Rhinolophus ferrumequinum: one gene and its partner. The protein of the gene in region 2 binds, or shares a complex with, the protein of the main gene of each other region. Links are inferred from orthologs where the notes say so. Each region holds a gene or a part of one and is shown on either strand. Other genes may lie near its edges.

The links.
Region 1: the proteins of ATP6V1A (region 2) and ATP6V1D are in contact, whole or in part, in a cryo-EM structure (PDB 9B8P), measured with the Rattus norvegicus proteins. The link is inferred for Rhinolophus ferrumequinum from reciprocal best matches to the Homo sapiens genes ATP6V1A and ATP6V1D. Residues at the interface, in NP_001101788.1 of Rattus norvegicus: Ala366, Met368, Pro369, Ala370, Asp371, Ser372, Asp416, Ser418, Asp436, Lys438, Glu491, Gln494, Leu495, Val496; in NP_955418.1 of Rattus norvegicus: Lys4, Asp5, Arg6, Arg167, Ala171, Val175, Ile176, Arg179, Tyr186, Glu190, Arg194, Glu197, Tyr200, Arg201, Lys204, Ile205, Lys208.

The regions. Positions count from the first base shown.
Region 1 is NC_046289.1:29,306,747-29,323,108, reverse strand, and holds the start of ATP6V1D (V-type proton ATPase subunit D), read right to left. Parts: upstream 7,754-16,362; 5' UTR 7,594-7,753; coding exon 7,553-7,593; intron 2,792-7,552; coding exon 2,674-2,791; intron 1,441-2,673; coding exon 1,361-1,440; intron 14-1,360; coding exon 1-13. Other genes in the region: EIF2S1 (eukaryotic translation initiation factor 2 subunit 1), read left to right, coding at 12,804-13,044. UniProt on the Homo sapiens protein: Subunit of the V1 complex of vacuolar(H+)-ATPase (V-ATPase), a multisubunit enzyme composed of a peripheral complex (V1) that hydrolyzes ATP and a membrane integral complex (V0) that translocates protons.
Region 2 is NC_046285.1:40,257,647-40,274,161, reverse strand, and holds the start of ATP6V1A (V-type proton ATPase catalytic subunit A), read right to left. Parts: upstream 6,927-16,515; 5' UTR 6,659-6,926; intron 5,050-6,658; exon of another isoform or gene 5,010-5,049; intron 1-5,009. Other genes in the region: NAA50 (N-alpha-acetyltransferase 50), read left to right, coding at 7,831-7,838. UniProt on the Homo sapiens protein: Catalytic subunit of the V1 complex of vacuolar(H+)-ATPase (V-ATPase), a multisubunit enzyme composed of a peripheral complex (V1) that hydrolyzes ATP and a membrane integral complex (V0) that translocates protons.

The DNA of each region.
Region 1 (16,362 bases), on a different chromosome or scaffold from region 2:
GATAACCGTGGTGCTGCAGGGGGGAAAAAGGCCTTAATTTAGGTTGAGTTTTTAGAGTGAGGAAATAAAACGGACCCATCGGGTAATTTCAACAAGAGTGAGATGTCACAAGTATGTTTTGATAATTGTCTTTTTCCAGAAAAGGAAAACAAGCACTGCTTCCAGAGGAAGGCCTCAGAGAGCAAAGAATGAACAATATTCAAAACATTAACCATAAGAAAACAACACAGAATGATTTTAAAATACATGGATTGCTTGAGTTTTCAGTCAGACATGTAGTACACAGATGTGACTTGAAGGATTCTTATTCTGCTAATGTAATTTGGAGGAAATTTTCCTCACTTCTAGGTTTGGCTAAGCAAGTATTCAATTCCTTTATCCTGGAACTATCTAACTTCCATCTGGCTTTGTCTGATTCTCCATCTATTATTATCATAAAAGTGTTTTCCCCCAAACCATCATAAAACACATTCACATACCACTTACACACTATTCCCTCCCTCTGCTGCAAAAGTCAATGCAAGTTGTTATCCTACTGACACTGACAAAAACTAAAGTCTGTCTACTACTTCAAAAGGCCTTGTGCCCTCCTACTGACCTCCCACCAGGTCATTCTCCTAGATAACACAAACTGAGAATGAAGGCATTATGTCACTGGGTAAAGAAACCCCTGAAAAAAACAACTTCCACCTCTGCCCCTAAATAGCCGTGACTCAGGAAGGCACTGGACTTAAAATAACAGTAATAGTGCTTACCTTGTCTACCTCACAGGCTTATTTGGAGAATTACATAACATGTAAACTGATGAAACTCCTTTGTAAAGCAATAACTAAACCATTTTGTATGCTTTGTAAAGCATATACTGATATGACAAAAGCCATATAATTCATGCCCTTTAAACAACCAATTCCATTCTCAAAATTTATCCTAAGGAAATAATTCAATAGAAACAAAAATATATATGCATGAAAATGTTCATGGTACCTTTTCTGATATTCCAAAAATCTGAAAATCATCCCAAATGTCCACTATTAGGAGAAAATTTTAATAAATGATGGTACATCTAGAGAAAGATTATGCAGCTAAGTGAAAACAAGGAAAAACATTCATAATACAATGTTAAATGAAAACGGACTATGAAATATTCAGTATCCTGTGCATGCAACTCTAACAGATACATGTGGGTAGTAAGAAAGACAGTAGTGTTAAGAAGATGGGGTTAAAAATGTTCTTCCTTATTATTACAGTATATCAGTTGTCTTTAAAGCTTATACATGTTTAAATTTAAAATGGCTTTTAAATGCAAGTATGAAGATGAAAGAACTTTGATTTTTTAAAACATCCTATTTAGTCTTCTTACCTGAAGTCCCCTGCTGTGAACTTGGCCTCAGCAAGTGAAAAGGCAGCTTCTCTCATCACTTCACCCATTAACATTTTAGTCTGTAAAAGCATAAACCAACAGCTAGTTCAACTAAGTTTTTTACAAGAAAAACATCATGTCATAATTGTATTCCTTTAATAACCATCAGTATTTTATATCAGATGTGCATGTAAATATCACTGTGATAATGATAAAACACAATAAAAATTTCCAAATTTCAACAGTTTTGATTATGGTTACTAACAATGTTGCAAAACCATGAGTTTTATAATCAAAACATCAAAATAAAGGCACTAAGAAATAGAAAACTGAACCTTTACTGCAGGTACTGTTATTCCTGAATGGGCCCATGGTGATTTGCTCAAATTAATGTCCTTAATTCACTCACTGCAATGCAGTCAAAATCCTAATAGCATAGTGATTCTAAAATAAATCTGGAATATTTAATGTGTAAGAATATCCATTAATTTTTTGAAAGAAAAGAAACACTAGGACAGGTTGGGCAGAGAGTTATCTTACCAAGTATTAAAAATGTACAGCTCCAATAAGGAAATAAATCTGGTCAGATAAGTCAATAAAATGGAATGGAGAGGTCAGAAACAGCCCCAGATCTGTATGGGAATTTGGTAATGTATAGAAATCATTTAACTGGCCATTTACTTACAAAATGACAAAGTTAAATCCCTACCCCCTCACATCACACCAAAAAAAAAAAAATCAGAACGTATTAAAGATAATTATTTTTAAAGCTATAAAGTAACAAAAGAAAATATAGTAGAACATGATCCTAATCTTTTTAGGCCTTTCTAAGCATTGTATGTAACCCAAAAGTTATATAAAAGACGAAGAGATTTGACCAAATAAAAATTAAGATAACATTTTTTTTAAAGTTAAAAGATAAGCAAAAGACTTGGAGACAATATTTTTAGCATTTTATATACTAACTTGAAATATATAGAACTTCTACAAAAAAGTAAATTCACCAAGAAAATCAAATTACCCGTAAGCACAACAAGATGCTCAACCTCACAAAAAATCAATAGTGCAAATTAAAATAAGATACCAATTTTAGCCCGACAAATTGGCAACAAAAAAAAATTAAGAGGAAGGAGTTTGGATTTTATTGTATTAAGCTATGTGCAACTTGGTACTTTATAATGGTTATTTTTACTTTTGAAAGAAAAAAAATTCATTAAAATAACTTAAAGGAAAATTAAAATGTCAACAAGCCATGTTGGATTTTCCTGAGATATTTCTAAAATAAATACTGTTCTAAGCAGAGTTCACTCTACCTCTATGATCTTCTTTAGGATCTGTCGAAATCGAAGAGTTAAGGCATCAGATTTCTTCTTTAGGAGATTTCGACCTGTCTGTGCTCCTTTTAATCGAGCCTTCATGATGGTCTGTGCCCTATATAAACAGTTAAAGGCATTTACTCCCCTTGTTTAACAGAAATAAAAATACCTGCCCAATACAATGTTAAAATTATGCTTTGTTCTTTGATGTCACGAGAATAAGAATATATATAGCCTTTGTACCTGACAGGCTTCACTGATTTCTCAATACCGTGGAATTCCACTCTCAGTGTTTCATAAATGAGAAGGTTATTTAAAACAGAAACAATTTTTTAATCAATATATGGAATAAGTATTTATTAAATTATAATAAAATCTATCATGAGCCCTATTTTATGATGTCGGCATAGTTTACTTATTTGATGTGTAAGTTAAAACAACACCTGTATTTCCATTAGAGGCATATTAAAGATTTAAAAAATAATCTGTCCACTAATATATATTAAAATTTGAAATGTTCTTACCTTCAGGACCAACAATTCCACTTTGAGGAATTTATCCTACAGATTTACTCCTGCATGTGTACAAAAACAATACACGGTGTATTCCAGCCTTATTTGTAATAGCTAAAGAGTGGATACATGTTAAAAGTTCCATAAATCATGGTTCATTATAAAATGGATATGCAGCCATAAAAAAAGAGGAAGGCAGATCTCCATGTGCTCTTTCTATTATATTTATTGTCTTAGCTATGCAAAGTAAGGGGTAAATATGCTTACACAGATACAGAGACCTGTTCTCGAAAGGATTCACAGAAACTGCTAACAGTTTCCTTTGAGAAAGGGGGCTGACTGAGAAAAAATAGATTTGCTTTTTATTATATTGTTTTGTACCTTTGGCATTTTATTCCACAGCCAGTTACTACTTTTTCTGTTAAAAGTGTGGCATTAAACACCTGGAGATTTTTTTTTATTGGAAGGAACATCTAATAAGACACTCTCCAACCTCACTGGAAGGGACCTTATCAGGCACCTGACTGCGAAGAGTCATTTACTCCTGTCTACGGAAATCAGACTCCTCAAGGACGAGAAACCACCGACACCAGAGGTAGACAGCTGTCCCAAGTCACTGACAAGGCCTGTGTACCTACAGATAGATGCTGAACTCAGAATCAGTTCTGTTTGAGTGTATTTACCTGTTTGCTAATGAAATGAGAGCCATAATAATAGTTATACTTGTTTTTTGGGTTTTTCTATATAGTCCAACTATTTATGATTCCTCAACAAGTATAACTTAATACTTTTCATGGATTATGTAAATGTTATTTTAAAGAGCAGGGCATTATAGTATTTTTGATATCAGTCAAGACTCTACTACCAATCATTTTATTAATTTGCAAATGACTTGATATAACAAATTAGGTAACAAATGACTTTAGGTAACTTGTCAATGACATATATAAGTAATGACTCCTGAGAAGTGACAAGAAACTCATATCTCCTTACCTCCTTATTTCAGTCTTTCCCATCAGAAACCCCAATACCAAAGTCGAGAAAGCAACAGCAGAAATTGACATTTCTCTTCTTGCTACCATATGCCAGATAAAATTTAATAATGGGGGGGAAAAATGGGTAATAAGATTCAACAATAGATCGTGTAACATAAATACTTAAAGTGATTTGTTTAAAGAGATTTAATTTCATACGACTAGTGTTACAACCAACTGCAAAACAGTACATATTAATGGACTTTTTGGCTAAATTCTTAGATTATATTGAAATCTTTTACCACTGGGCAAAGGTTACTGAGATAATTCTATAGCTGGAAAGGACTTCAGACATTATCCTGAAAGTTAGGAAAATGAGGCTCAGAAAAGTGAAACAACTTTGCCACAGCTACTTAGTGAAGAAAAGGCAGAGCAGAACTTGAACCGGATTTTTGACTCCAGTGATTGCCCAAGGCTCATACTAAGGCTCAAACTTAAGTCCACTGTACCCCAACATGCCACACTGCCTCCCCTACAGATTAAAAATACCATCAGATGAATAGTTGTCTCTCTAGCTGTCAGTGACTGACTCTGCACTGACTGGACCAAGTGAAGCTGGTTCAGTTTCCAGCCTAAGCAGGAGCTAGCCACCCCAATGTGTACATTTAAACACACCGTATTGTTGACACTAACCACCAGAATTTGGGCTCAAGGAGTCGAATCAAATTTAAGTCTAACCCTAGTACTGCAGATTCCAGCAAGTTCATAGTAAAAAGGCAAACTGGTTGATGAAATTGAATTTAACATGCTAATTTTGATTTTCTCCTAGGTAATGGCATCTCTGCGAAATAGGTCAATTTTCATTCTTGAGACTTGAAGAAAAACAACTTGACATACTATACTTACAGCCCTTGTAAGTATAACCTGGATTTGACTGACTTCTGTTGACTCTATTTGATTCCCCCCTAAACTTGTTTTGCTCTCTCTGGTGCCTAAGGAGGTGTCAGCCTCATTTCACAGGATAACACTGGAACTGTCTGAAACAGAAGTCACTAATGTATTTTCTAGCCTAGCTCTTAAAACATCTGTTCTTTCACAAGTTTCAGAACTGCTAAATCCTACTGAAAAGTGTTTGACCTTCAGCTAGGATAATAACTTTGTTTCCAGCTGAATCAAAGACATCTGACTGCATGACAAAGTACCTGCTGCTAAGCCTCTGGAAAATATTTAGAGAAGCAGAAAATATTTAGAGAAGCGGGTTACTTCCTGCACCTGATTTTCCTCTCAAACAGCAAGCTGAGTGCACTCAAATAGCAATTTCCACCTTCACAAACCTATCATTCTTCTTGTCTAAGGCCAAATAAATTTATTTTCACCTCTCAGTCTCCAAGTGAAAACAAAAAACTGTTAACATTCTGACTACAAACACAGCCAAATATTAGTTAAAGCGTTGAAAACAGGTTTTATTCAGTAACCACTGACAGTAGGGGGAAAAGAACTGCACTCCATTCCAATTTGTGCAGAGAAGACTGGGCATGTTAAAGGAAGAGTGAGGGAGGGGAGCTAGAAGGCACTCAAGGGGAGTCAGAAGTGAAAAATTACGAAGGGTTGGTCAGTGGAAACGGGATTAGGCCAGCTGTGTCCACTAGCTGGCCATTATGGAAGGTAGGATTCCTTCCTCCCACAGAGAATGGGAGATGAAGGCCCTATCCTTCCTGATGACTACATTTCAAAGAAATCGTTTTCAGGTCCTTGAGAAAGACACTTCTAAATTGTAGGAGAGGTATATACATCTCAAAGGGAAAATGAAGAATTCATAATTGTAAGTCCTTTTCAGTAAATGCCCTAAGAAAGGGGCCTATCGTCAGGTGTTGGCTAGAACAGTAACTTCTGACAGCAGCTGAGCTTTCTCAGGCAGACATATTACTGGAGGCTGGGTCATCCTAAGAACACAGCTTAAGCTTCCTAGAAGCAACGCTGGAGTTTGGCTGTCTCTGGTGCAGAGGTCTGGCAGGACTCAATCATTAAGGGCTGGAAATTCTGCAGTTCTCACTACCCCAGGGTAGTCCTGACCCTTATCTATTTTACAGGCATTACCTTTCTCCACTACTGCCTTGATTCCCACCTACTACAAACTGCTATTAGAAAGTCAGTAGGTAAAGTTAAAAAATAAACCAAAAGCCCAAACCCCTTCATTTAATTAATAGCTGTAGCCACGTAGGCAGAGACAGAAATTAAGGTTTGGGCTTTGAATATACTTCTTTCATTTTAAAAGTCCTCAGATTCTCTGAGAAAAAGGTCAGCATGAAGAAAAACAACAATACTCCCAAAGAGATAGGACCACAATCAAAAGATCTAAATGTCAGAGCCAAAACTGATTTTCTGCTCTTCACTGGGGGAAATAAAAAAGAGGAAAAAGGAGGAGGGGGCAAATAAGAACAATCTTTTCTTTCCACACATTGTTAGGTACATTTGAGAAAACCTCAAAATATTCTTTAGAGACTTTCTCTTTAGAGAAAACCTCAAAATATTCTTCAAACACCTAGGGCGACATGCTATTTCTCCTGCCAAAAAATTCAGTCCAAAAACGAAAGACAGCCCACGTCGGAGCAGATTCCAAGACAAGAGTTCATTCAAGGAACATTTTTTTTGTGGACAGTCTATGGAATCATGATCAAGACGCTCCGATCCTGCAGAAACCTCACAGTCCAGGGGGAAAGGCATGTAAACAAATACTATTCATTTTTACAAAGTGATTAATGGGTGATATTAACAGAGGTCTGAACAAGGTGCACGGTGGTAAGAGAGCAAAAGAAGTGCCTGAGAAACTGAGGGGTATCTTCCCACCGCAGGTGACATTTCATGAGATCTTGGAAAATAAGGGGATCCACGATTGAATCTAACGTCTACGCTACAGCATTTCGATTCAACCCCCATATGGCTTAGAAGTCTCTTCTATACACTTCCCCCTGCAGAAAACTTCCCTTCTCGATCCATTTATCAAACCTCGTTGGCTTATCCATCTCTCCGCTAAATTGAGTTCTGGTCAGGGCACGAGTGGTGACGATTCGGTTACATACATCCAGTGCCCGGTTCAATAGGGAGTGTGGAATGAATGGCTCGATTGAAGAGTAAAGTCAGCGGACCTCCACAAAAGCCAGCAGGCCGGGTGTCTGTTCCTATGGGCTGGGACCAGTCTGGTTCACTCAGAGGAATGTGTGAGGGGGCCGTCACAGAGCCTCGCCCTAAACTCACGAAGAGAGACTGGGAAGCTCAGGATCCGCCCAGAAAACCAGGAACCTCGCTGCTGGTCCCGGGTACGAAGGAACCGCGGCTCGGACCCGGCGTTCCTGAGCCTATGACGGATGCTCGTCCCGTTCTTTTACTTACATTCGCGAAGGAAAGATTTCAATTCGATCTTTGCCCGACATTCTGACGATGACTCTGTGGCTCGGGTCCCCGGCCGGGCAATCGTAGCTGCAACAGACCCAGCCACAGCGTCTTCCTTTACCGGAGTCAGCTGGCTGTGTCACTTGACACCCCGCGCGTTGCTAAGAGGCAGCTGGGATATGCACCCGCCACTTCCGCTTCCTGTTGGTACGTGGGTTTGGGGGTGGGCGTGGGAGGAGGGAAAAAGGCCTAAAGCCGGCGATGCCCGGATGTTCAGGCGCGCGCACCACCCAACGGCACCTCAATTCCGGTCAGCTTCCTAGCCCCTCCCGCTCCAGCTCCCCGGCGGCTGCGCAAGGCTCTGCGCGTGGGACGAGAGAACGAGAGAGAAGAGTATACTCTTTCTCTTCCTGCGCTTGTCATTTTTGGTCACAGCGCCACCTCATGGTTGGCAGAAGCTTTGAGAGAGGATTTATTCTTCAGGAACAAAGAATGAGAGTTCTACTTCTCCCTGCGCCTTGAAGGGTTACTTACCGACAACTAACGGTAGCGAAAAAAACGTACTTTTCAGGTTCTCCTGGGATCTTCCTTCTTCCTTGTTCCCGGAGGACCCGGACTCTATGGTCAGTGACGAAGAGGGCCTCTATTCTGTTGGCGCTTGCGTGAGACGAGGTGGTTCCGCATGCGCGGTAGGGTTGAGCGAAGCGCACGCTGAGGAGGATCGGCGGCTGCTGCGGGTGGATCAAGTCTGATCTCTCGGATTAAAGAGCGCGGCGCGGGACCCCACTGCGGGATCCACAGACATACCTCGGGTAACTAGTCCCCTAGATCGGTTTCTCGAAGAACTCACTTTGGTTGTGTGTAGTGACATGGGTGGTCGAGAGAGGGTAGGCCCCGGGCTAACACCTCTCCCGTCCCTGGGCGAGAAGTGTCTGGACACCACCGACACCCCTGGCGGGCTCCGTGTCGGTCTTCCCGAGTTGCAGGTGGCGTTGTACGAGCGGAGGCACCTCGTGAAGGAAAATGGGCCAAGTGACTGTACAGCCTCTTCAATATGCTTAAAGTTGAGGACTCCTTGCGGTGGGGCGGCCTCGGGAGAACGCTGTGACACTCCTGCACCAGGGCCGAGCGCTGCTCCTTCCCGGCCTGAGAATTCCATCCATCGTTTTTTTGGTTTTGTTTTTTGTTTTTTCCTCTTGCGCTCCAGCAAATACTACCTCTCCGTGGAAACCAGACCGTACACTGCAAGGGACCAGTAGGATGGATCACAGTGTTGACAAAAGCTGTCTCACAAAGGGCCCAAGAGCAGTTTATTCGATACTTTATTTTTAAAAATTGAAGTTCGTTTTACCTTAGCGCTCGAGTTGGGCATTTCTGTGGAATGAGTCACTCCTTGAATTGAAACTAAAACATACTTTTAAAGAGTTTATTACGCTTCGCGTCGGTTTGCTGTATTTCAGCACCGGTGAGAACAGACTTGTAGTATTACATGGTGTGGTCTTACAGTTATGCAAAACTGAAAAGATGGGGGAATTTTGGGGTTAAATACTAATATTCAGCCTGAGGTCTTTTTTGTTACCCCCCCCCCAAAACTTAGGCTACTTTAATGTTGATTAAACAGGAAACATTGTTTCTTGGAGAAAAGATGTAACAGAAAAGTCTGTTTTTTCTCCCGATTGAAGTTGTTATTTAAGGGAAAAAAGTTGTAACTCTGTCTTTCAACGGTGTGGAAATTACTTATATGAGTAGAACTTTACTGCCAATTCTCAGTTCATCTGATGCCAAATGACAATTACTAATTCTCAAAACATCTCAAAAAGGTGCACAGTAATGTTTGTAGATATTGGTGTTTCCTATTTCAACTACAGTGAAATAGTTTGAAAGCTTTGTTGTGTAGCACTCCTATACTAAAAACTAGGATGCAGAGAGCTTAAGTGTTAGAGCTTAATTACAGTTATTGCAAGAATTGTTTCTATCACATAATGCTTTACTTTGGAAAGGGATGTGGATTTCCTGTATCCATTGTGGTGACTTGACCATGCGCTGGTTGTTTTTTTGCTGGTTGTTTTTTTTGTTTTTTTTTTTAATTGGGGACTATTGGGAAACTGTGTTTCTCCAGGGCCCATCAGCTCCAAGTCATTGTCCTTCAATCTGATTGTGGAGGGTGCAGCTCAGCTCCAAGTCCAGCCATGGTTTTCAATCTTTGGTTGCAGGGGGAGCAGCCCACCATCCCATGAGGGAATTGAACCCGCAACCCTGTTTTTCAGAGCTCCTGCTCTGACCAACTGAGTCATCCAGCCACCCCAGACCATGCACTGGTTTAAGAAAGAAGTCCTACCTACCATCTGACAAGGCAAAATTACTGACAATGCAGGTTATTTGAAATTAACTTGGAGTTCAGTTAGTGTATTCTGAAAAATAGGTGTTCTTTACCAAAGAACACATACTGCATTGTAGTACTCTGACATATTGAGGCTCTGAGGGTTAAAAATATTCTGTATTTAATGTCAGAAGACTTGGTTTTAGTTCCTGTTCTCATACTTAAAGATTTGTCCTTAAGGAAGTCACTTAATTCTGGTCCTTGGTTCCCAGTTAATTGATCATTTCACTGTGTTCCTTTCATAATACCTTATATTGCAATTATTTGCTTATTAGTTTGTTTCCCAGTCTTTACTTAAATTTTTTAGGTAGTAGTCTTAATTGTATCAGTAGTGCTTAGTGCATAGTAGATACTAAAAAATGATTTTTTAACAAATCAAGTAACAAATGGAAATAATACTTCCTTTGCCTTTTAATTTCTTATATTTGTGTAGCACATTATACTTTCTAACTGTTTTTACATGCATTTTTGTTTCATGTGATGCTCTCCACAAATCTGTGAGGTACATGCCACAGACTAGAAACTACACTTCAATGGGAATACATTTCCCAAGCAACCACAGCTACGTAGTCAGAGCCAGGACTGGTACCCACATCTATAGCTATTCCCAAAGTTCACTGAGTCTTGACGAGGACTTACTGAGAGCCAAATAAAATAAGTCAAAGTGCTTTGAAAGTTATATAAATGGCCAATGTATACCTAGCTTGTGGCTTCTATTTTCCTGACTGATTTTTTAAAAGTTAGTGTAATTATTACCATAAATAAAGAGATATGTTCAAAATCTATCAATCAACAGGCAGGTTGTTTGTGAAATGTATTCTTTTTGTACTTACCGGCTATTTTCTGTCTTTACTGTAAATAACATCAGCAGTATTCCTTTATTTACCCTACATATTACAAAGAGACTTATACTTCCTAAAGCTGTAACATTTATAGCTCCCTACAGGGTTCTTTTACACTATTGTCTGTTTTCTTTAACCATCAAATTAAGCCTGCCTTCCCCAAAATCATCAGCTTTACTATTTGAAGAAACTTGATAAGTAAATGTGGTTAACACATGTTAAAGCTCTTAAAACTATTTCACACATTTTCATGGCATCATTTATTTTGATACTCAGTTTAAAACATTTTTAGCTCTCAAATTTTAGTACTTTACAGATATTCGACGAGCTTTTTTTTTTAAAAAAAAGCCCTGTTTAAAAATGAAACAACCAGCTCAGCTGTTTCTTGGTGGGTCATTCTGGCCATTGTCTACTTTCCTTTATTTGCTAAATTTCTATTTTGTCAAGCTACAAGAGAAATACATCTCTGTCACTGTTACTAATACGCTGCTTTATTTTATTTTATTTTATTTTATTTTTTGGTTAAACAGGATAGATTAGTACTGAAAGTTTTCACTAACTGTGGTATTCATTGCTCCAGCATTGGATATGTATGTTAATGTTGCTTTTTGTTTAAGATTTTCTGATTGTAATATATTTATAATATTGAGAGAAAATATAGCCTGATGAATAGTACACTATGGTTCTTCATAGGTTCAAATTCTGACACTATCACTTTTTAGCAGTATATAACAGAACAAGTTGCTTAACCTGTGCTTCATTTTCTTCAAATATAAAATGGGGAGAACTAGGGAGAAAGTGGTACCTCAGGGAGACAGGCAGTGGCCAGATCATATAAGACCCTGTAGGTCATAAAAAGATGTATAAATCAGAAGCCACTGGGAAGTTACATACGGATGCAGTTAGCAGTTCTCAAATCACACTGCAGCAGAATTCCAGGGTTCTGTGAACTGGGTGTGGATGTTTTATCTTTATTTCCCAATTATTAAGAAAAAAATAAGTTAGTGATTTTTCACAAATTTTTCATAGGCCTTTAGATCCTATTGCCTGTCTTCTGAGCTTTGACAACAGTAAACTGGTTACGGTTAGCAGAAAAACATGAAAATCATCAACTATGATTAGTTTGAGAGCTTCCCTTTAAAAATATATTTCTACTTATGGTATGATTTCAGGATTGTGGATCATAAAAGGAGTGGTGCTGAAAGTAGGTTGGGTGGATCAAAGGGAATAGTTTTAAATATATATATACTTGGCAGTTAAGAGAAACTTGAACTTTATAGTAATGTAGATCTATAAAGCTATTCTCAAGATTTAGTATACTTATTCAACAAAAGAAAAGAATATTTGGGAGTAATGGGAAAAGTAGAAACTAGAAATTATGGTAATTGTGAATTAAATTCAAGTTTGTTTTAAGAGGGGGAAAAAAATCTGAGAATACGTTTTGGTTAAATTTAATACCTTTCCTGATTAATAAACTTTTAGTTTTTGTCCTGTCATATGATACTGTAATTTTGGCTATACTTACTTATAGGGTGTATCCTTTAATATATGGTTAGGGTTTAAGTAATCAGAAGATTCTTCCCTTTATGTAATGGGTAGTAGCATTACAGTCCTAGCTGATTTGGAGAAAGAACAGCTTTAGAATTTTCTGATAGGTTTATAATAGTAGTGATGCTTCCCATCATTTGTTATTTCTTGAAGTGGTGGTATTAAAATGGTATTTTACTCTTAAGGTGTACCTTTAATCTTTAGGTCTCAGAGGTTAGTTGTACTTTATAGATGGTCATTACTTTTTATGATTCCTCTGAAACTGATGGTAGAGAATCATCCAAGCCTTACAAAAGTGTGGAGCAAAATAAAAATTAAAGCTTGGTTCCTGAACATTATCTGTTTTCTGATACCATTTAAGAAGTTTAAAGAGGTGAGAAGACTAACAACTGCTCACCTTCTGGCAAGATGTAGAAAATGGACATTTCTTTATTTTGACTTTAACTGAGCACTTACTTTATTCTTTTGTTTAAATTTCAGAATGCCGGGTCTAAGTTGTAGATTTTATCAACACAAATTTCCTGAGGTGGAAGATGTAGTGATGGTGAATGTAAGGTCCATTGCTGAAATGGGGGCTTATGTCAGCCTTCTGGAATACAACAATATCGAAGGCATGATTCTTCTTAGTGAGTTGTCCAGAAGGCGTATTCGTTCTATAAACAAACTCATCCGAATTGGCAGGAATGAATGTGTGGTTGTCATTAGAGTGGACAAAGAAAAAGGTAAGTGAGAAAAGTATCTAAAATACAAATTTCAGATTTAAATTGGTTTACAGTAAAATATATTATTTGTAAATTGCCTACGGCCGTAAAAAAACAAACTCCTCCTTTTATACCTAAACTCTTTTACGTACAAAGTTGTTAGAGAAGGATGCCAATTAGCCATCTAAGCAAGATCTCTTAGTAATGGTTTAATTAGTGCATCCCAGGACTAGTTTTTATTATTGGTCAGATAACTTGAATTTTATTTCCAGAGGAATTTTCCATTTAATATTTTCAGGCCATGGTAATTAAACAATTTATAAGTTTTAAATTGCATGGCAGTCTGGGTAACATGGTGAAATCTCTCATTGTCCTGCCCAGGACATGAATCATCCCTTTGTCCAGCGTGTCCACACTATATACTGCCTGCCCATTAGTCACCTGGTTATCATCTCAGTTATCAGATTGACTGTTAAGATATTACAGTGCCTGTGTTCCGATAACCCTTATTTTACTTAATAATGTCCCCAATGTACAAAGTAGTGATGCTGGCATTTGGATGTACCAAAGAGAAGCCATAAAGTGCTTCCTTTAAGTGAAATGGAATGTATGGATAGGGAAAAAAATATTCTCTGTAGGGTTCAGTATGACCCACAGTTACAGGCATCCCCCGGGAGTCTTGGAATGTACCCTGCGGATAAGGGGGGGACAACTGTGTTCCTTAAATTTGAGTAAGTCTTCATATCACTGCCCCAGAAGGACCTAGAATGGTGTCTTATCTTGCATTTCTTTTCTATTATATAAAATATATAACAAAAAGGAATCAAATATATTTTTAACTGTAATCAGAAAAAATACTTGCTTAAACACAATAGATACATATAAGAATAATTTCTATAGCTGCATTATTTGTACAGTATTAATTAAAAACAGGAAACAACAGTCAAAATCGTAAAATAAATCATGGCACATCCATGCAATGCAGTTTTATATAGAAGATCTGAATATTCTGTTGTGGAAAGATGATTGGGGTTGAGATAAGAAAAAAACCAAAGTGCAGAAGATCCCATAGAGGGGATTCATGTCTGATACTAGAAGATTAGGTCCTATTGGAAAAACCTTTAAAAATAACAGCTATAAACCCTGAACAAATATTTTTAAAACTACCTAAAGACAATGGGCATAATCAAAAGCAGGCCGAAACTAAAGGAAGAAAGGAATTTCACTGGCTAAGTTTTACAGCTTTTTGTCTGAATGAATGTTGCAGGTGGCTTCAAGCAGGGCAGCTAATGGTAGACCTACAGTCTTAATGACTTGAGAACAGTTCTGGACAGCCATAGAAGTGATAGAGATTAGAGAAAGGAGAGACACAGAGGGAGAAACCCTAAATTTATATATAAAATCTACTCAAATCTCTGGCTGACCCCTGAACTACTAATACAGAGAGGGTAGACTGCAAGCAATCCAACAGGGTAAAAATCTAAATAGATCTTGGTGGCTTTCCACTTGAAACAGAGCTTATAGTTTTGAAACCAGACAAATAACTGCCTGCTAAAACAAAATAAGTATCCTTAATAAAAACATAAAGGAATTCACAATGATCAGGATACAATCCAACTACTAAACATTTGAAGAAACAAGAAATTATGACCCATACAGAAGAGAAAAGACAATCAATGGAGAGTGACCTAGAGTATCCCTTATGTTGGAATTAGCAGATAAGGATTTTAAAGCAGATACTACAACTGCTCAAGGATATTAGATATTTTCCTAATCATTACAATCATATTTTTGCTTGTAACGAACAAAATGAAATCTCAGTAGAGAAATTAGAAACTCGCACAAAGCACTAAATATAAATTCTACAAATCAGAAATGTAATATCTAAAAAATTCACTGGGTGGGGCTAACAGATTAAAGATTACAGAAGTCTCAGTGAAACCTGAAGATAGTTCATTTAAAAAGAACCAATCTGAAGAACAGTAAAAAAGCAACCTGTCAAATATCAAAGCTCTGCTCCAAAAGAAAAGGAGAGAAAGAGCAGAAGAAATCATGGCCAAAAGTTTCTCCTATTTGCGGAAAAAACATAAATTTACAAATTGGAAAAGCTCAGCTAACCTCAAGCAGGATTAATACTAATAAGACCGCATCTAGGCACATCAGACTATTGAAAAACAGAGACAGAGAAATCTTGAAAGTAGCCAAAGGAAGATTGCACATTATTTACAGGGGAGCAGTAATACAAATTACAGTGGCATTCTTATTGGAAGGAATGGAGGTCAGCACATTGAATGACACCTTTAAAGCACTAAAAGAAAAAACTGTCAAACCAGAATTCTGTAACTGAAGAAAATATTTCAACAATAAAGATCAAAATGAGACATCTTCAGGTAAATAGAAACTAAGAGGATTTATTATCAAATAGACCTACATTATAGGAAATGGGAGAGGAAGTTGTTCAGGTCAAAGAGATGTGATGCCTAAAATCGAAAATATGTAGGTAAATTTTAATGATCACTTTTTTCCTCCTAAATTCTTTAAAATACACGTAACTGTTTGTCTCATTTTGTACCCGTGGGATCGTAATTTATGGAGGTGACTGATGACATGGAGAGGCCAATGCCATTGAAAGAAGATTTTTTTCTCACTTAAGAGAAGGACACCATGTGCCATGCAGGGCCACATGAAGCTCCACATGTGGTCAGGAGGCGGAAGGAGCCGTGGGAAAGTCTAGGCCAGAGCGTGTATTGAGATGTCCACAGAAAAGGCAAGGCAGGTCAGGGTAAACAGTTTAGGGTTGGCTAGTTTGAATAGTTTGTTCAGGCATTGGGGCATCAGGCTATTCTGGTTGTCTGGTACCTGGCCTTGGCTGATTTAGGGTAGGGGGAATATTGGTTTGGTGTGTGAGACTTTGATGAGATAGTTGGGGGTGTGGGCTCTGGGTTTTTTAGTTTGCATATGAAAGGCTGTCGCAGGTGAGCCCTTAGCTGTCTCTAAGAATTGTCTAGCTCTAGGATGGGGAGTCTCTCCCCACCTAGTCATCCAGGCTGCAAATGTCATAGCATCAAGAATACTGAAAACACAGTTAATGCAATTGACACTATGATAAATGGATGCCAGATAGACAAATATCGAGTCTTTATTAGGTCCCTCCACTGAGGTAATAGAGAGTATACAATTACATGATAATAAAGACATGCATTTCTGAAAACAAAAACTTTCTCATCTTATGCATTATTTTGTTGGTGCGATTTTAGTGGGGAGTAAGTGCAAAGATGACAACCAAACAAGCGGGTTGTGAAAATATGTCGCAGTGATATGCTGACACCTGAACAAAGA
Region 2 (16,515 bases):
CATTTCAAATGGTATTTTTCCTTTAGTTAATTCCTTCTTTGTCCTATCAGATTTTTTTCTAATTACAGAATCACTACCTGTTAATTGTAAAAATAAGGACATGTAATATAATATAGAAAAGTGTAAGGAAGAAAAGTAAAAAAGTCACCCACATACCCATCCAACTACTCTGAGATAACTAGTAAACATTTTGGTGAGTATTCTTCCCTGCAATTCATTTTGTACAGACATGCACAAACATGTAGTTTTACATGCATATGTTACTGCAAATACCCTGCCCTTTTTCTTTCTTTCATTTTCTCCTTCCAATGTGGACAATCAAAAAAGGCATATACAAAACTCACGATATTTAACTGTTTTACAAAAATGAGATCTCGTTATATACATTTTTCTAAACTTTGCCTTTCTCATTTAAGATACACAATGGAAAACATTTTAGGATATATTTGGAAATCCTTTCAACTCACCGGTATGGATTTTAACTCCTACTTTTAATTGATCTAAAAAACATTCCATAATATGCCTATGCTATAATTTATATATCAACACTCAAGTTGACAGGCAATCCCTTCGTTTTTAGATTTTTGCTACTACAAATACTGCTGGAACAACATTCATGTAAAAATCCTTTACTAACAGGTACTTTTATTTCTAGGGAAAAGATTCCATAAAGGGGGATTGCTGGATGGAAGAATATGGATTTTCAATACTAACAGATACCGTTTGATTGTTTTCTAAAAATGCTGTAATTATTTACATCCCCACTAGCATCTAATGAGGAAATCTTTTACTGCACATCACTGCTAGCAGGTTTATCACTTAATTTTTCCAAGTCAAAAAAGAATATTTTATTATTATTACATTGACCACTAGTGAGATTACATATCTTTTCATAAGTTTGTTGTCTGGATTTCTCTTCTGTGAAGTTCTGGTCATATGTTTTATCCATGTTTCGATCGTGCGGACTTTTTCTTCTCAGTAATAGTTCTTTACAAATGTTAACTTGTTATTTGTTATACATATTTCAAACAATTTTTTCAATCTACATTTTGTCTTTTATTTTTGCCATTGAAAAATTCTTCATTTCTATGTAGTCTCACATATTTACTTTTATGACTTTTAGATTTCCCATCTTGGTTTAAAAGGCCACATCGCTACATCTAGATTGCATGTATAAAGAAATTTAGGAGATTCATATTTTAAATGTTTTATTGTTTATATTTAAGCTTTTCATCATCTGAAATTGGTTTCTGCATATGCTATAGAAAGTACTGACTCAATTTTATTTTCTTCTAGCAGACAAGTTGTGTCAGTTTACTATATATATATATATATATATATATATATGTACCTTTATTTCCCATTGAATTAAAATATCACTGTCATGAATTCAATTCCTTTACATGCTTGAATTTACTTCTGCTTTTTAAAATTCTGCTGCACTTACATAAGCCTAAAAATATATCGTACCTATAAAATTAAAAAACTTGTTCAGTTACCTGGATAAGTCAAAACATTTTCACCTAAGATATCCAAGTAATTAAGAAGAAATCATTATGCAAATGTCCTAATGCTCCACAACAAATTAGAAAAATTTTGTTGCCCAAAGGAATGACTATTAACTGTAGAAAAATCAAATATACACGTTATAATTATAAATTTTAAATCTTTCTTTAATCTCCTAATCTTGAGATAATTACTTTTTTATTAATTTCCTTCCATCTTTTCAAATATTTGAAAATATTTGAAATAGTGATTGTACATACAATCACTACCATATATAGTTCTTTATCATGCCCTTTCCTCAATTTTGTAAGTATTTTCTAATTTAGTCTTCTCCATTTTTCTTTTAAGTAAACACTTTACAAAATTAAACTAAGAAATATCTAAAACAAAGTCTGGTTGTTTTTCATTGCTCAAGCACATCTGGAGCTCTTCTGCATCTTATCATGTATTACCCATTGTATTTTCAATGAAATAAGCTTACTTATTTTTCAGAAAAGAAACCAAACACGGGATGCTGTAGGTATAATTTTTTAAAAGGTTTATCACTGAAAGAACAATCGTTTCTACAGGTAGTATTAAGATTAAAAGTGAAAATGTTCTTGTAGTAAGCTAGTCATAATATTGATACCAAAAAAATAGCAAAAAAAATCATAGGTTAATTCTGAAAACACCTATGAAATACCATCAATTTGTAAAAACTGACTAACTGCACTTGTGAAATTTATTAAATAGAGCTAAGTATGAACAAATATAAAGGGGAGTCCCAAATAATCATTAGGTAAATTTATTCACAGTAACTAATTTTAAAGACTAGTTTAATAGTTTCTGGTAAAAATAAAGATTTATGACCATGAAAATATACATCTATTTCAGCTGTCTTTATAAATACACACACTTTATCCATCTATATTATATATGTTATGTTTACTATGTACATAATATATACTATATGTAAAATAATATTTATATGAACCAAAGTCACAATATTAAAAAAAGAGAATAGTAAAACTTAAAGTTTCTACAGAAAGAAATTAAATAGAAAACTTTGACCACAATTTATTTCACTATAATAGAGACCTTGATATTAAAGAGCATATTCAATAATCTCTTAATAAAATCTTTTGTTAGAACAAATGAGTAATAATTTTTTTCAGGATTAAGGTGAAACATAAACTCATGATAGCTATACTTCAATTACTGTTTAATTTACTGATATTTTCCAATACAAAACCACTAATCCTGTGATTCATCTCACTCTAGAAGGGAAAAATTTTATTCTAGTTTAATAAAATAAACTAGAATAGTTTTTGCTATGTCTGCATTTGTTCTCTACATTCCTATGTCTACTTCATATGAAAATAAGATATAAAAACATTTAAAAAAAAGTATGTATCACCTAAGAACAAAATCTGACTAACTGCACTTGTGAAATTTATTAAATTCACAATAAGTTAATAAATTATTAAATTTTAATAATTTAATATTAATTTAATAATTAATAAAAGTATTTATTTTTTTATTATAGTAGTACACTATAATACACTATACACTCAAGAATAGTGTGGTTTAAAAGGCCACATCGCTACATCTAGATTGCATGTATAAAGAAATTTAGGAGATTCATATTTTAAATGTTTTATTGTTTATATTTAACAATAAATATAGTGTACCACTATCACACTCAAGAAATTTAAAACTGGTTTATTATTACTTAATAAACAGTCCATATACCAAATTCAAAACAAAAAAAAATTTAATTAAAAGGCAAAAATTTTAAACATAAGCGTAAACTCAATAGTTCCTGTTCTACAGGTTTGTACAATTTTAATATATTTCTATAATCCATTGTAGGGATAATAATTTAGAAATAGCACAACTACCTCCTTATATTGATTCTACATACTAATGATCCTAAGCTTTGGAAAATCTTTTTATAGAAAATATTGTCACTGCAGTTGCCAAAATAATGGGCTTTATACTGGTATTTATCAGCTCCTAATATAAATGTTTTAGAATCTTTGCTAAGGTACACTTTTCTTGCTCCTCTATTTTTTTGTAATAGCCTCATTTCAAATTCTACTCCTTTCTTCATGCCCTAACCCTGTTAACTCAATTTTATAGGATGTCTTAAGTCTCCCTAAGTCTCCTTTACAAAGTATGTACTAAGTCTTCTGCATTCATGATCTAATCTAATAGTACTTAGGGGATAGATTTAAACATGAGGAAATTTAACCTTAGATTAAGTAAACTGTCCAAGGTCAGAAAGCTTAAGTGGTAGGGCCAGAACTTGAACCCAGGTCTATGATTGGGAAATCTATTCTGGTCAAATCTGTACTACATTGCTTTACATTTAAATACCACTTAGCTTTTAAATTAGGTTATCTATAGTTTAACCTTACTTGAATTCACAATACCCTTAAAAGGAAGGTTCTAAAGAATAAAACCCAAAGCTCCCACCCCAACTTAAAAGAGCATGTAACTAAAGTGGCAGAGCTGAATGATGGTCCTTTGACTTTCAGTCTAGTGCTAGCTATATCACTTGGTGCCTGTACAGAGCCATTTTTTCATTAAGTACAAGTCACTCCCCTTCCTTTCAATATCATCCAGATATGTTGTAAACATATATGTAAACACGTTATGAAAATAAGTTGGTCACCGCATTAATAAAGTCCATCTGAGGTTTATATCTATTCTATGGACCATGATTTGGATGGTTATTATTATCCATTTATATTAGAAAGCTAATACTTTGTGCAAAACCATAGGAGAAGCTGTGATCTTCAAGAGCTTTAAAAGTAGTTTAACCTCCTGCTCCAACTGTCAAACACTCATTCAATAAACAATTTACTGAGTACCTATCAGGTACTTTAGCATCCTGGTGCTGAAGACAACAGTAAAGACACTGTCCTTTAACTCCTAGGAGCTTTAGGGTTTACTAAGGAACAGCCCAGAAAAGAGTAATTAAATACAATGTCCTAAAAGTGGAAAGAGGAACAGAAAATATTGTGTAGTAGTCTAATGGACTGAGTGGCTTTCTGCACATAGGGAAAGAAAGCACTCTTGGAGGTGGTGATAATCTATACAGGCAGTAAAATATAAGACCTCAGAGTAAGCACACAAGAGATACCGGGGACCCTAACACAAAAACCCTTGTATACCGTTTAATATTGGACTACAGCACAACTCCCTAATGAGTGTTAACATTTCTACATGGAATAGTCATAAACTAATGAAGCTAGTCTAAAAAATGGCTTCGAAGCTTCAAATTATTTGTGTGTGTGCATGCGTGTGTAAATTGTATATAATGTCAAACCTTTTTTCATATTTAACTTTAATAGCAATTTAGTCACCAATTACTGCTGCTAATCTTCCAGATTTCATTAGTGGTCTAAGTTACAGCTTTCATAAGTTCCCGAAAATTGGGGGAATTGTTAAGTAAAACTGCGGAGTCATTCAACCTCTTTCATACTGACACCTCTCCCCCACCCCCCCAAAGTACTCACTGCTTTTCAGCTGGTTTTCTCTTTCCCATTTTGGTCTCACCCAGACAAGACTGGTTTGAACCTATAAGACACTTAAGCAATTTATCTAATTTGGTGGAATGTCACTGCAGGAGGGGAAATCTTGTTAAATTGCTATTACTCTAGAATTTAACTTTTTGTTCCCCTTAACAAAATAAGACCAGTTTATTGTAGAGAAGTTGGAAGATACAGAAAAACAGAAATAAGTCACATCCACCACTCAAAGATGATTCCATCTTTCTCATTTTTCAGCTGTCTTTTTAATGAATTCTTCAACTACACTGGTTAGAAAACTACAAGGTTTAACTGAGAATATGACTTTTCAGAGTAAAAAATTATATTTTAAAATCAAATTTGTAATTTCTGCCAGACCTTTCAATTCAAAAGAACCAAGGGACTTTCTAAGTTTGCAGTATAAATAAAAGAGTTTAAACACCAAACTGAAAAACACTCTTCCGTAAAGCACATTGTTTGGGGTCAAAACATTGGTTACATTGCAAACCAAATGGAAAGAAGTGCAATGGGTTGGGCAAAAACCTGAGCAAAATAATTTCTGTATTTTCACAAAATACTATTCATCAAAACTTGAAGACGTCACCTGAAGTTTTACAAATGGGGAAAGCTAAGGAGGGACACAAGCACTACTTAAATTTACCAATGGTCAAGGAATTGACTGGGAGTAGCAATTAAGTGGGACTTTAAGGGAAAATGGCAAAAGATGTCAAAGGCATAAAATATGAAGTCAGCAATATCTCGACTTAACCTCCTTTTCCTTTAAGTATATGGTCAAACACATTTGGTTTAATCATACGCGTATGAGCCCAATTCGTTTCTGAAGAATTAGTTCCCTTTCAGTGAAAGCTAGTCACTTTTCCATAAGCTAGTTTGGGTCTCTTGCACATCACGGCACCGCAACACCATCTTTAAACGCCTCCCCATTCAATCGAGACTGTCGTATTAACACCTCCAGTTTTAAAGCTAGTACATCTTTATCCTTTCAACTATCCTCTCCATTACTGCACCACAAAATCAAAGAAAAGGCCTGCTTTCACCTTTCCAGTCCCACCCAAAGCGTGTGAACAGCTATGGAACGCCTCTCTCAAAGATATGAGATAAAAAGTCAGAATTACTGAGAAAGCACGTTTGGAAGCAGGCTTTACAGTGACTCCGCAGGGAGAGCGACATCAGTGTCATTCTCTCCCAAGCCAGTCTCACGGGAGACGCCCGTGCCTCCAGGGTTTTTCTTACCTTCCCGCTCCCCAGCCCCAACCTGAAGGTAAAGACCAGGGCCTCTGCCAAAGAATGGGCTTTGGGGATTGGGTCCTGGAGGCTATTGCAGACCCCGAGGAATGGCTGAACCAATCCCACCACCCGAAACCCCAAAGACTCCGAATAGGGAACCAAATGGCCACACCCAATCCCAACCCTGAGAAAAGTGGACATCTCAACCCCAAGTTGCGGGGGTTAAAACAGTGGTTGGAGCGGGGGGTCTGGAGAACTGAGCTCCTAGCCGATGCAACATGACAGCGGGGAGGAAGGCCGGATAAGCGGAGGCCGCCGTTCACACCTTCCCTATCTTCCTCCTCCCACCCCTCTCTTCCACCAGCCGCCAGTTACCCGTCGCCGCTCACCTGCCAGTGCGCGAGGTGCAGAAACTGTACAGATCACGGACCCACAGGCTCTGTCACTGAGGGAGGGGAAGTCTTCAGCTGCAGTGGCGGGGCGGGCCTGGGCAGTCACGTGATCCTGAGCTCCGCCCTGCCGTGGCCTGCCCGGCGCGCTACATATTGAAGATCATTTTTCCGTATTGTTTGAACATTAGTTTAGTGCGATTAAATTTTAAGAAAAAAAAAAAACTCTCACAAAGATTATGGTGTAAAGTGCAACGTAGAAAACGTGAGTGGAACGGGTTAAAAAAAAAAAAATGCATTGCTAAGGAAGTGACGTTAACACCATGCTCCAGGGACCGGAAATGGCGATGAAGTTCCGACCCTCTGGCGCCCGCCGCTAAAATCCCAGGCTTGAAGGTTTGGGGCTATCATGTGATCTCAAAAGTTGAAACGTGTTGGACGGAAGCCAAATTACCCAGCCAATTGTTAATTACGTTTATTTGTCTTAAAAACACCTCATTTACTTGAGTTTTCCACAGACATTTTACTTTTAGAACACCCAACTTTATAAGATCTTACTAGGAGACAGCAGCATTTGAAGGTCATTAGGGAGACTACCAACCGGGAAGAACACGGTCGGAAGAGACTGACGTGGGAGAAGTAAGGGAGGGGTGGAAAAATCCAGATTTTACCGCCAGGGCCTATCGGGCCAGCCCCACAAATAGTGTCGTAAGGGATGGGAGGAGGAAGATGACGCCAGACGGCACAGCCCAGGAAAAAGATGGAGGTACTGAAGCGGAGGGGGAAGGGTGCGCGGAGGCCAGCAATGCGGCTGCGCGGAGGCGGCCGGCGCGCCGGCGCGCAGAGGGGGCGGGGTGAAAGGTCACAGCGCGGCGGCGGGTCTGGCTGGCGGCAGCGGCGGCGGCGGCGGGCGGGAGCCGAGTGCCGGGTGTGCACGTGTGGAGAAGCGGCGGCATCAGTGCGGCGGGCGGGACACACTCCCGCCCCCTCCGGAGACGCAGGGCCGCTCTCCACTCTCGCGGCCTCCGTCACCCGCTCAGCTCCCTACCTTAGGCGGGGAGGCCGGCGTGTGGAGGGGTTGAGTGGCCCGAGCTCGGGGCGCTGAGAGCTCAGGGCGGCGACGACTACGGCGTTGATATCGGTGGTAACAACGGCCTCAGCAGGCAGGGAAGATGAAAGGGTGAGGAAGGGCAGCCAGCAGGCACGGCCGGCGGGGGAGAGGGGTTGCGAAGGAGGGGAGAGAGTGGGAGAAGACCCGGCGGAGGGAGATTTCTGGGCTTCTCTGCTTCCCGAGGGGGCGGAGGCTCGGCTCGGGCAGTTGGCGGGCTGAAGGTCCAACAGAGGCAGGACCCGGAGAACCCAGGATTTCGGCCAAGAGGACGAGTGTGTGTGGAGTGGAGACAAGCAGCTGAGTGGGGCAGCAGGGAAAAGCTTGTGTGAGGCTCCCGGGGTCTCCGGCCCGGGAACGGAGTGCTGAGGCACCCCCGGCCCGCCACTCCAAGTCTAGTGGTCTGGTTGTCCTCTTCAGATCTAGTAGGCGCCACACTGGGAACCTTGGTGTTTTGTCACCTTTCAGTTTTATTCACACTTGAGAGCCGTGCAGAATCTTCTGGAGGGAGAAGGAATTGGAATAAAGAGCAAGGAGATGAGTATTAACAGCTAGTGACTCAACTGGATTTGGGTTGGGTCAGAGCGAGTGGAGGAGGGGGAGAGAGCGTGAGCACTGTAGACTTGGGGTGCCAAAATGTTTAAGGAAGTCTTGTTGATCAGTAGGTGGAGCTCTTGCTCCGGTAGTTTAGTGTTGCCCCGGTGTTGTGAGGGGGTCCTTAGTTACTACGAAGCTTTCTTTAGGTGATTGGCACAGTTAGTCTTCGTGCACAGTTTCCCTCTTGGATAAATTAGGGATTATTTTGGTCCGCTGTTTCCACTTGGATAAGATATCACCTTCCTATTAAATTACATACTGTTAAAATATTAATTACATAACACGTGTTTTAAAATATTGCCTAAATTGGTCGTTTGGGAGCTCGCCTTTTCTCTCCTTACAGGAAGAAAAGGAATCTTATCAATGCTAAAAGCTTTCTGAGATGCCTGAGTTTTTTTCTATTATAGCAAGTCAGTTAAAGAATTGTAACTATGTTTTGAGTTAATGAAGCCTTTCAAAGTATTCAGCAACCCTTTTGAGGATGAAATAAAAGTCAGGCCTCAAAGTAATCTCATAGTGCCTAAAACACGGGTCTAAATATTATCTCGGTGTGTTTATGTGTTTGAGGTCGCAGAAGAGGTCCAACAGTATAATTTGGCCTTAGCTCTGTAACATGATTTCTTTGATTTTGCCTTAAGTATTGGGAATTCATTTTAATATTAAATCGTATGTCTTGTAATTAATGTTTCGAAATCATGAAGAAATTTTCACAATGCCTGCATTATTTCGCATCAAGTTCTAAAAGAGTTCCAATCAGGATACCAACTGAGGGGTATGAGAATAATTTGCTGCCCTTTAATCATGACTTACTAGGAAGCTTGGCTATTTTATATATGATCAACTATAATTTAGCAAAATTGTTTTCTTGAGTATGGGTGCTGTCTCATTAATTTATGTATTCTCTCGGGCATTCAGTACTAAATTGTCTTGTTCCGTTAAAGTAATAAAAATGAAGCTGAAGAGTTCCCAGTGTTGGGACTGCATGGATTTATAGAGGAGAGCAGAGCCTCCAAGAAATTATTCTGTATGTTTAGATCCAAAATCTTTGGTTTAGCTCAGTCTCACTAGGGTATAATGTTCTTTTTGATTCCTAACTTGGCATTAGAAATGAGGTCAAACTGGTGGTATTATTCACATCTACCTTCAGTTAATATACTCGTGAGGTAATTATCTTTTTATTTAAAATGGTTATTTATGTGTAGCAAGTTGATGGAGGCACATCCCCAGAAATGAGTCAAATTAGAGGAACTGGCCATATTTAGAGGAAATTTGTCGTTATTGAATCTATGCCATCAACTATGCCTGAAGTGAAGAATCCTTAAGTCTAGTTCTATCACTTTCTAATATTGGGAGTTTAAAATTACGTTCTTAACGGTAAATTTTTAAGATGATTTCACAGGAATAATCCCTTTTAACTTCACAGATGAACTAATTCCCAGGTAAGATGGGATTTAATTTTTTTTCCCCCACTTCTAAGTCTTGTATTTAAGACACTGGGCAAAAGAAGACAATACACATTATTTAAAAGATTTTAAGGTCCTCAAGTTCAAAGACTTGTATCACTATGAACAATGTGGTTAGTGTTACAGTCCTGACTTGATTTGGAAAGGTCTGTGAAAATGAAACAGTGGCCCTGATTATAGGGTTTGTGTATGAAATTTTATTTGCTTAAGTGTTGTGTATTAAGTTAACCGAACTATAAGTGGAATAGAAATATCTGAAATCGGTAACAAATGCAGAACTCCCAACTCTAAATCAGAGTACTATTTAAATATTTTACATCCTTGCCTATATCGCCTATCCTTTTGAAGCTTTTTAGAGTCACTCTTTTACCTGGTTTTTCTTCATATTTTTACTTAGTTTTTATTATTAGCAGTAGGGCATTTCATTGTTGCATACATTTAAATGCATGGTTTAGAAATTTGAGGTATGTTACTTCCTTTGTACTGAGGTTGCTTGTTTTTATGAACCAGGAACATTGTAGGTTGAATATGTGGATTAGGTAAGCTGAATATTTTTATCTATTGTTTCTCTTTAGGGAAGATGATGTTCAAGCAAGAAGGTGTGCCATACACAGCTGTGACTGAGATGGCAATGTAATTAGTTAATATAATAGAAAGTAAAACTGAATCCATTTACCCTTTGTTTATAGTAAAGAGGTATAGTAAAAATTAGACCTAACAAAAAATGGCAAACAAGATCTGAACAGATGTGTACAAAATAAAGATGGGAAAGTAGGCAGCAAAAATATATATGTAGCATGTAGAACAGTGTAGTTTACTAATTGAAATATTAAAATATAAGATCCTTCAGTCAGAAACGAATCTCTGTTGAAGTCAGAGTAATGGTTCCCTCTGGTAGCTTATGGCCTGGGAAGGGACACAAGGCTGTTTTTGAAGTGATGTGAATATTCTTTGTCTTTACTTGGGTGTTGATTACATAGCTGTACACAGATGTAAAAAAATCAGTGAGCTGTAAACAAGATTTGTGCTCTTTATCATATGTGTCTTACACTGCAATAAAACAGGATTTTTTAAAAAGGTTTTGTTGCTGGTTTTGTCAGGAAAAAACAAAAAACAAAGCCAGCAAGGCTGAAGTAGAATTCAGGAACTTTTGTAAAGCTGCAATTCATACTTGCTCCTGTGAAGCCAATAATTTGTGGGATGTTGATTGAGATACTGGATTTTAACAAATGTTTTGTAATGTCCCCTTGTTATGTTGAGATGAATCCATATAAAATATAACCTATCTGTATCATAAATTTTATTAAAAATCAATATAATGTCCTAACTCATAAAGGAAAAATAAAAGGAAACTAAACTATATCTGTTTCAGTAGCAATGATCAGGTACAACTATACCATAAATCATAAGAAGATCAGATGTTTGCATTTGTCTGTAAATGGAATCATTGTATAATTTAAAAAGTATCTGCTAACAGTATAGATATGTACATTGGTGACTAATGCTGTGTTGACATCAGTGTTGTGATTTCTTCACCAAATTGTGGACAACTGTTGGTAAAGTTCAAAAATTTCTGGGTTGGAAAAATATTTTTAACGGCCATCCATATAAAGCATTATCTTTCAAAGCCAGTGCTTTTGCCAGACCAAACTAATATCTATTAAATTTCACTTTGCTACATCCTCTATTTTGGCCTTTTGGAAATCCTTTGACTCCTCCTTATTTTCTCTTCTAGATTATTAGCTATGGTTTCCAGCTTTGTGTCATCTGAAAAGATACACTGTCTCAATTATTTAAATGGTTGTCCTTTTTTTCTTTTTTAAGCACAGTCTGCAGAAACCATTAGAACATTAGTAGTAATCAATGGAAACTTCCTTTTCATCATAGAAATAAGAATTGTGTGGATTGTAGTTTTAATAACCACAAAATTATGTAATTGTGCCATCATGGAACACTGCTTGACCTGTTCTCTTCCATCATCTCCTATTTGCATTCATTCAGTGCCTAACATATAAATGTTAGTCCTGTCCAGTACAGTAGTGACTAGTTACAGTTGAGCAGTTGAAATGTGGCTTGTGTTACTGAGGAACTGAATTTTAAAAACTGATACTAAAGTTAGTTGTTGGACGGTTTTTAAGTATGTTTGGAACAACTTGGATATGTGGACCTACTGTAAATTTTATGAAATGTAAATACAGATCAAATATTTCCAATGAAAATTAGCATTTGAATTCAGATGTGCTGTAAATGTGATAACCACTAGATTTTAAGACTTGGTATGAAGAAAGATTTAAGGAAAAGTGAAATAGTCATTAATTTTTTTTTTGATTATACGTGAAAATTTCACCTGTGTCTTTTTGGTTTGTTGATGTGGATACTAGAAAATTAGAAATTACATATGTGGCTCAAATTATATTTCTATTGGACAGTGCTGTGCTAGACCCTGAAAAAAAATTTTGTGTGAAACATGATCTCTTCCTTTAGGATCTAGTTCCTAGATGTAAATGTTTCTAAATGTTTCTACTGTGGTCCAAAAGATAGTGTGTGGCTGGCTGTTTATACCTCTGTGGTAAAGGATTCTGAGGCTACTCTTATTTATTTAGTTAGTTTAGTTTGGCTTGAGTTGCTTTTATACTTGAGTATTGTTCAGTATCAGTGTTACAAAGAAAGCTGATTAAAAGAATAATGATTGGTTAGAGATGGAACAACAGTAGAATAGGATGATTTGTTTTGGAGAGTCTTAGAGTGAATCTTATTGATACAGTGTATGCAGCTTAGATCCAAATAATAGCAGGAAATAAAGTATGTATCTTTATAATCACATTTTCTTTGGATATTGTTGAAAAGTTCTGCTTACTATAGTTATTTTATAGTTATTTACAGGATTTAAAGCTAAAGTAATGTAATTGCTTGGGGAAATAATTTTTTTCCAGCTTTATTGAGATACAATTGATATATAACACTGTGTAGGTTACTGGTTTTAAATAAAAATATTGTGACTCTTGTCTGCCATGGATGGGGAAGGGATAATTGGAAGTATGTATTTGCTTTTCCTGATCTAGTGCAACCTATATTCTGCCTCTCATTGCTGAAGCTGTTCTTAAGGAAAAAAAAACACCTTGTTTTCCAAGTCCAGAGGCTTCTCCACTCTCAGTCCTCGATAGTGCTGAAGTGAATGCGTATTTGTAAAACAACTTGACATATATCCTTAATTATTTCTTTTGGATATTTCCCTAGAAGTGAATGTTTTTGGATCAGAAAATACTGGCATTTATAAAGCTCTGGTATTGGTTGCCAAGTTGACTCCAGAAAGATAGTAGCAATTTATGCTGCCAGCAGTGTATGAGTGCCCTCTTCTCCAAGAGCTGATGGAGAAGGGGAGTGGCACTTGTAAAAACCTTAAGGAAATGGAGGAAGACATTGTGGCTGCCATCTCAGCTTCAGTGGTATAAATTACCTTTGTCTGGGATGAGTGGCATACATTGAGCATTTGTAAAATGACAAGTCACTAATAGTTTCTTTACAAATTGGTTTTGAGTACATATTCGCATATAGCTTTAACTCAAAGTTTTACTTTACTGATTAGGTAATAAATGGTATTTCCTTTTTTTTTTTTAACTTGGACGTTTCCTATGTGCAGTGGCCATGTTTTGTGTTTTTTATTTTATTTTATTTTATTTTTAAATCTTTGTGACTAACCTGTTGCGTATAACTTAACCAGTTTTTAATTTGGATATTGATTGCTTTTTTACTTGAAATTAAAAAACAAAGATAATGTTCTTTAGAAAATGGGTTGAGACATTAAAATTAGTAAATATTGTCAGAATGATGCCAGTTTAGGACTCAAATTATTAGAAAGAAAATTTTTTACAGGTGGAACTTCTTAAACTCCGGTAAGCTAGGAAAATAATTTTGTATTTAGGGGCATTTTAAATATTTCTCATTTCTCTTTCCAGATTACTAAGGTATATTTAAAGATGTATTTGGATTTCACCCCTCTAGTCTGTACAGTTTATTATTTGTAGCATTTATCTTCGTAAAGGAGACATACCATAATGCAAAAAGCAATGGCCTAAAAGCAACCACGTTTTATATTTTATAGTTCAGTGTGTCACTAATGATAGTTAGCAGTAGGGTCACTAACCAGTTTCTTGACCTGGGCCTTAGTTTCTTTAAAAAGGATAGTTTCTTTAAAGTTTCTTAAAAGTTTCTTTAAAAAGGATAGCTTGAACCTAAACAAGAACAACCAAATATTCTAAATCGTGTGGTAGTTGTAATCTGTTGATGGTATCTTACCAGTATTTAATCTGTTGATAGTTTCGTGACTGCTGTGATGTGTGTCACAGCTTTGCCATCCCTGGTCTCTGTCAGCTCTCACTTTCTATGATACCAAGAAACAGAACTTTGGAATCATACTTGAATTGTTCTCTTTAAGCTGCTTTCTTCATTTTGCTCTTGTGTCAGCCTTTTGAGACTGGATCTCCCATCCTGCCCCTCATGGCACTTTTAGTTTTGTTTATAGCTGCCTAATTTGTGTTGTCTACTGTTAAGTGCCTACTATGCTGCCAGGCAATAGATCTCATTTAATCGTCACAGTGGCACTAAGATAGCCATACATTGTCTAATATATCAATAGGAATAGAAAATATATAGTCTACTAATGAAAAAACAGATACAGAGGTGAGCCAAGAAGGAAGAGACTTTGGTGGGTTCTTGGATTTTTGAGTAGTTTTATATGGCAAAAAGATCGGGAAGGGAGGGAAGGCTAGGTCAGTGGCCACAGCCAGTAAAGGGCTTTATATATAGTACTATTTGAATTTGACTTGGTAGGTTATGTGTAGCTATTGAAAAATTTTAAGCAGAGAAATACAGTGATCAGATTTGTGTTTTAGAAAGATTATTCTGACTGCATTGTGATGGCTTTCCCTGGCTCTAGCCTTACTCCTCTTCATTAGCCTGTAGATTTTGGAATGATATGATGGCGTGACCAATACTGCTAAAAAGCTGTAGGAACATTATGAAGATATTTGGGGAGCAGAATTAACATGGATTAAAATGAGACATAAGAGTACATCTAAAAGTAAATTTCTGTATTGCATGAAGAGAATATTTGTAAAGATAGAAAATAGAGGTAGATATTCTAATTTCCTATAGAGAATGATGAGTTCGGGTTTTGATGTGGAATTTGAGATTACTGTAGAGATAATCAGTAACCAGTTGGAAATGTGTGCTTGGATTCAGAGATTTGGAAGTGAAAACATCAACATTTAGGTGATAGTAAGGGAAAAGCCAGAACTGGGAAGGAGCTCTCCTAATTGAACACATGGATGGATGGCCATGGAAAAATTTTCAAAGAACAATTTTATTCTTTCTAGGTTATAACCCTGAGTAGATTTTGTCCTGTGTGTTTAGCACTTCTAGTACCCAACCAAATAATTGCTGAAAATTTTACACACCTGATACTTGCAGTCACACGGTGTGGAGAGCTGACCCACCTACCACTGTTTTTTTGATACCTGTTAACCCTCTAAAATAGTGACTCTCAACCAAGGGCACACCTCCTACTCCACCCCAGAAATCTGGTAACGCCTGGAGACATTTTTGGTTATCACAGTGGGGTGGGGTGGGTACTGGCATCTAGTGGGTAGAAGCCAGAGAGAGATGCTGCTAAACATCCTACAGTGCTCTGGAAAGCCCTCCACAAGAAAGAATTACCCAGCCCAAGATGTCAATAGTACCAAGATTGAGGTGGCCGGATTGCTCAGTTGGTTAGAGCGCGTGCTCTTAACAACAAGGTTGCCAGTTCGATTCCCGTATGGGATGGTGGATTGCGCCCCCTGCACCTAGATTGAAGGACAGTGACTTGACTTGGAGCTGATGGGTCCTGGAAAAAACACACTGTTACCCAATAAAATTTTTTAAAAAGGAAAAAAAAAATAGTGCCAAGATTGAGAAACTGCTATAAAATACAGATGTGATGAGAGAGTGCCTGTGAATTACATTAAGGGCCTAGGAAGTAAAGATGACTCCTTTGAGGGGAGTCCTACGGTGCAGCTGATCTTGCACTACAATGGGAATTTGTAGAAGAAGGCAGGTCAAACACTGCACAAGAAGTGACCAAACAGTTTTGTGCCAAGGTACACTTACTACCTATCTAAAGTATAAGCAGCTAGGCTTTTAGCTTTCTCTGTACTTCATTTTCTCCTTTTGCTATATGACTTAAAATGTCAGAGTTTGTAGAAAAAGACCCACTTTTGTGTAGTCATATCTCCATCTTGTGGCCTTGCAGAATATTGCCACTAAATTTTGTTTTTAGAATTATGGGCATCATTGACATTGCCTTTAATAGCTAAAAACATGTGAGTGCTTATTATCTGATGTTGCTGTGCTACATGCTTAACATGCATTGTCTCATTTTATCACACTGCCTTTATAAGCCAAGGGTAAATGTTTCCTACTACCATATTCTAAGCTCAAGGATTATATTTGATTAAGTAACAGACTAATCTTGTACTGACACAGATTACTAGCTGATGGAGTCTATAAAGTAGGAGGTAAGTAGCTGCATTTTCCAGATCTAAAGACTTGGTATACATTTCTGTGGGACTTTTATCAGTCTGTCTTCCCTGTTAGTTCCTTAGTCTAAAGACTTCGGTGTCAAGAGGCGTTGGGGTTTGTTATGAATTTGG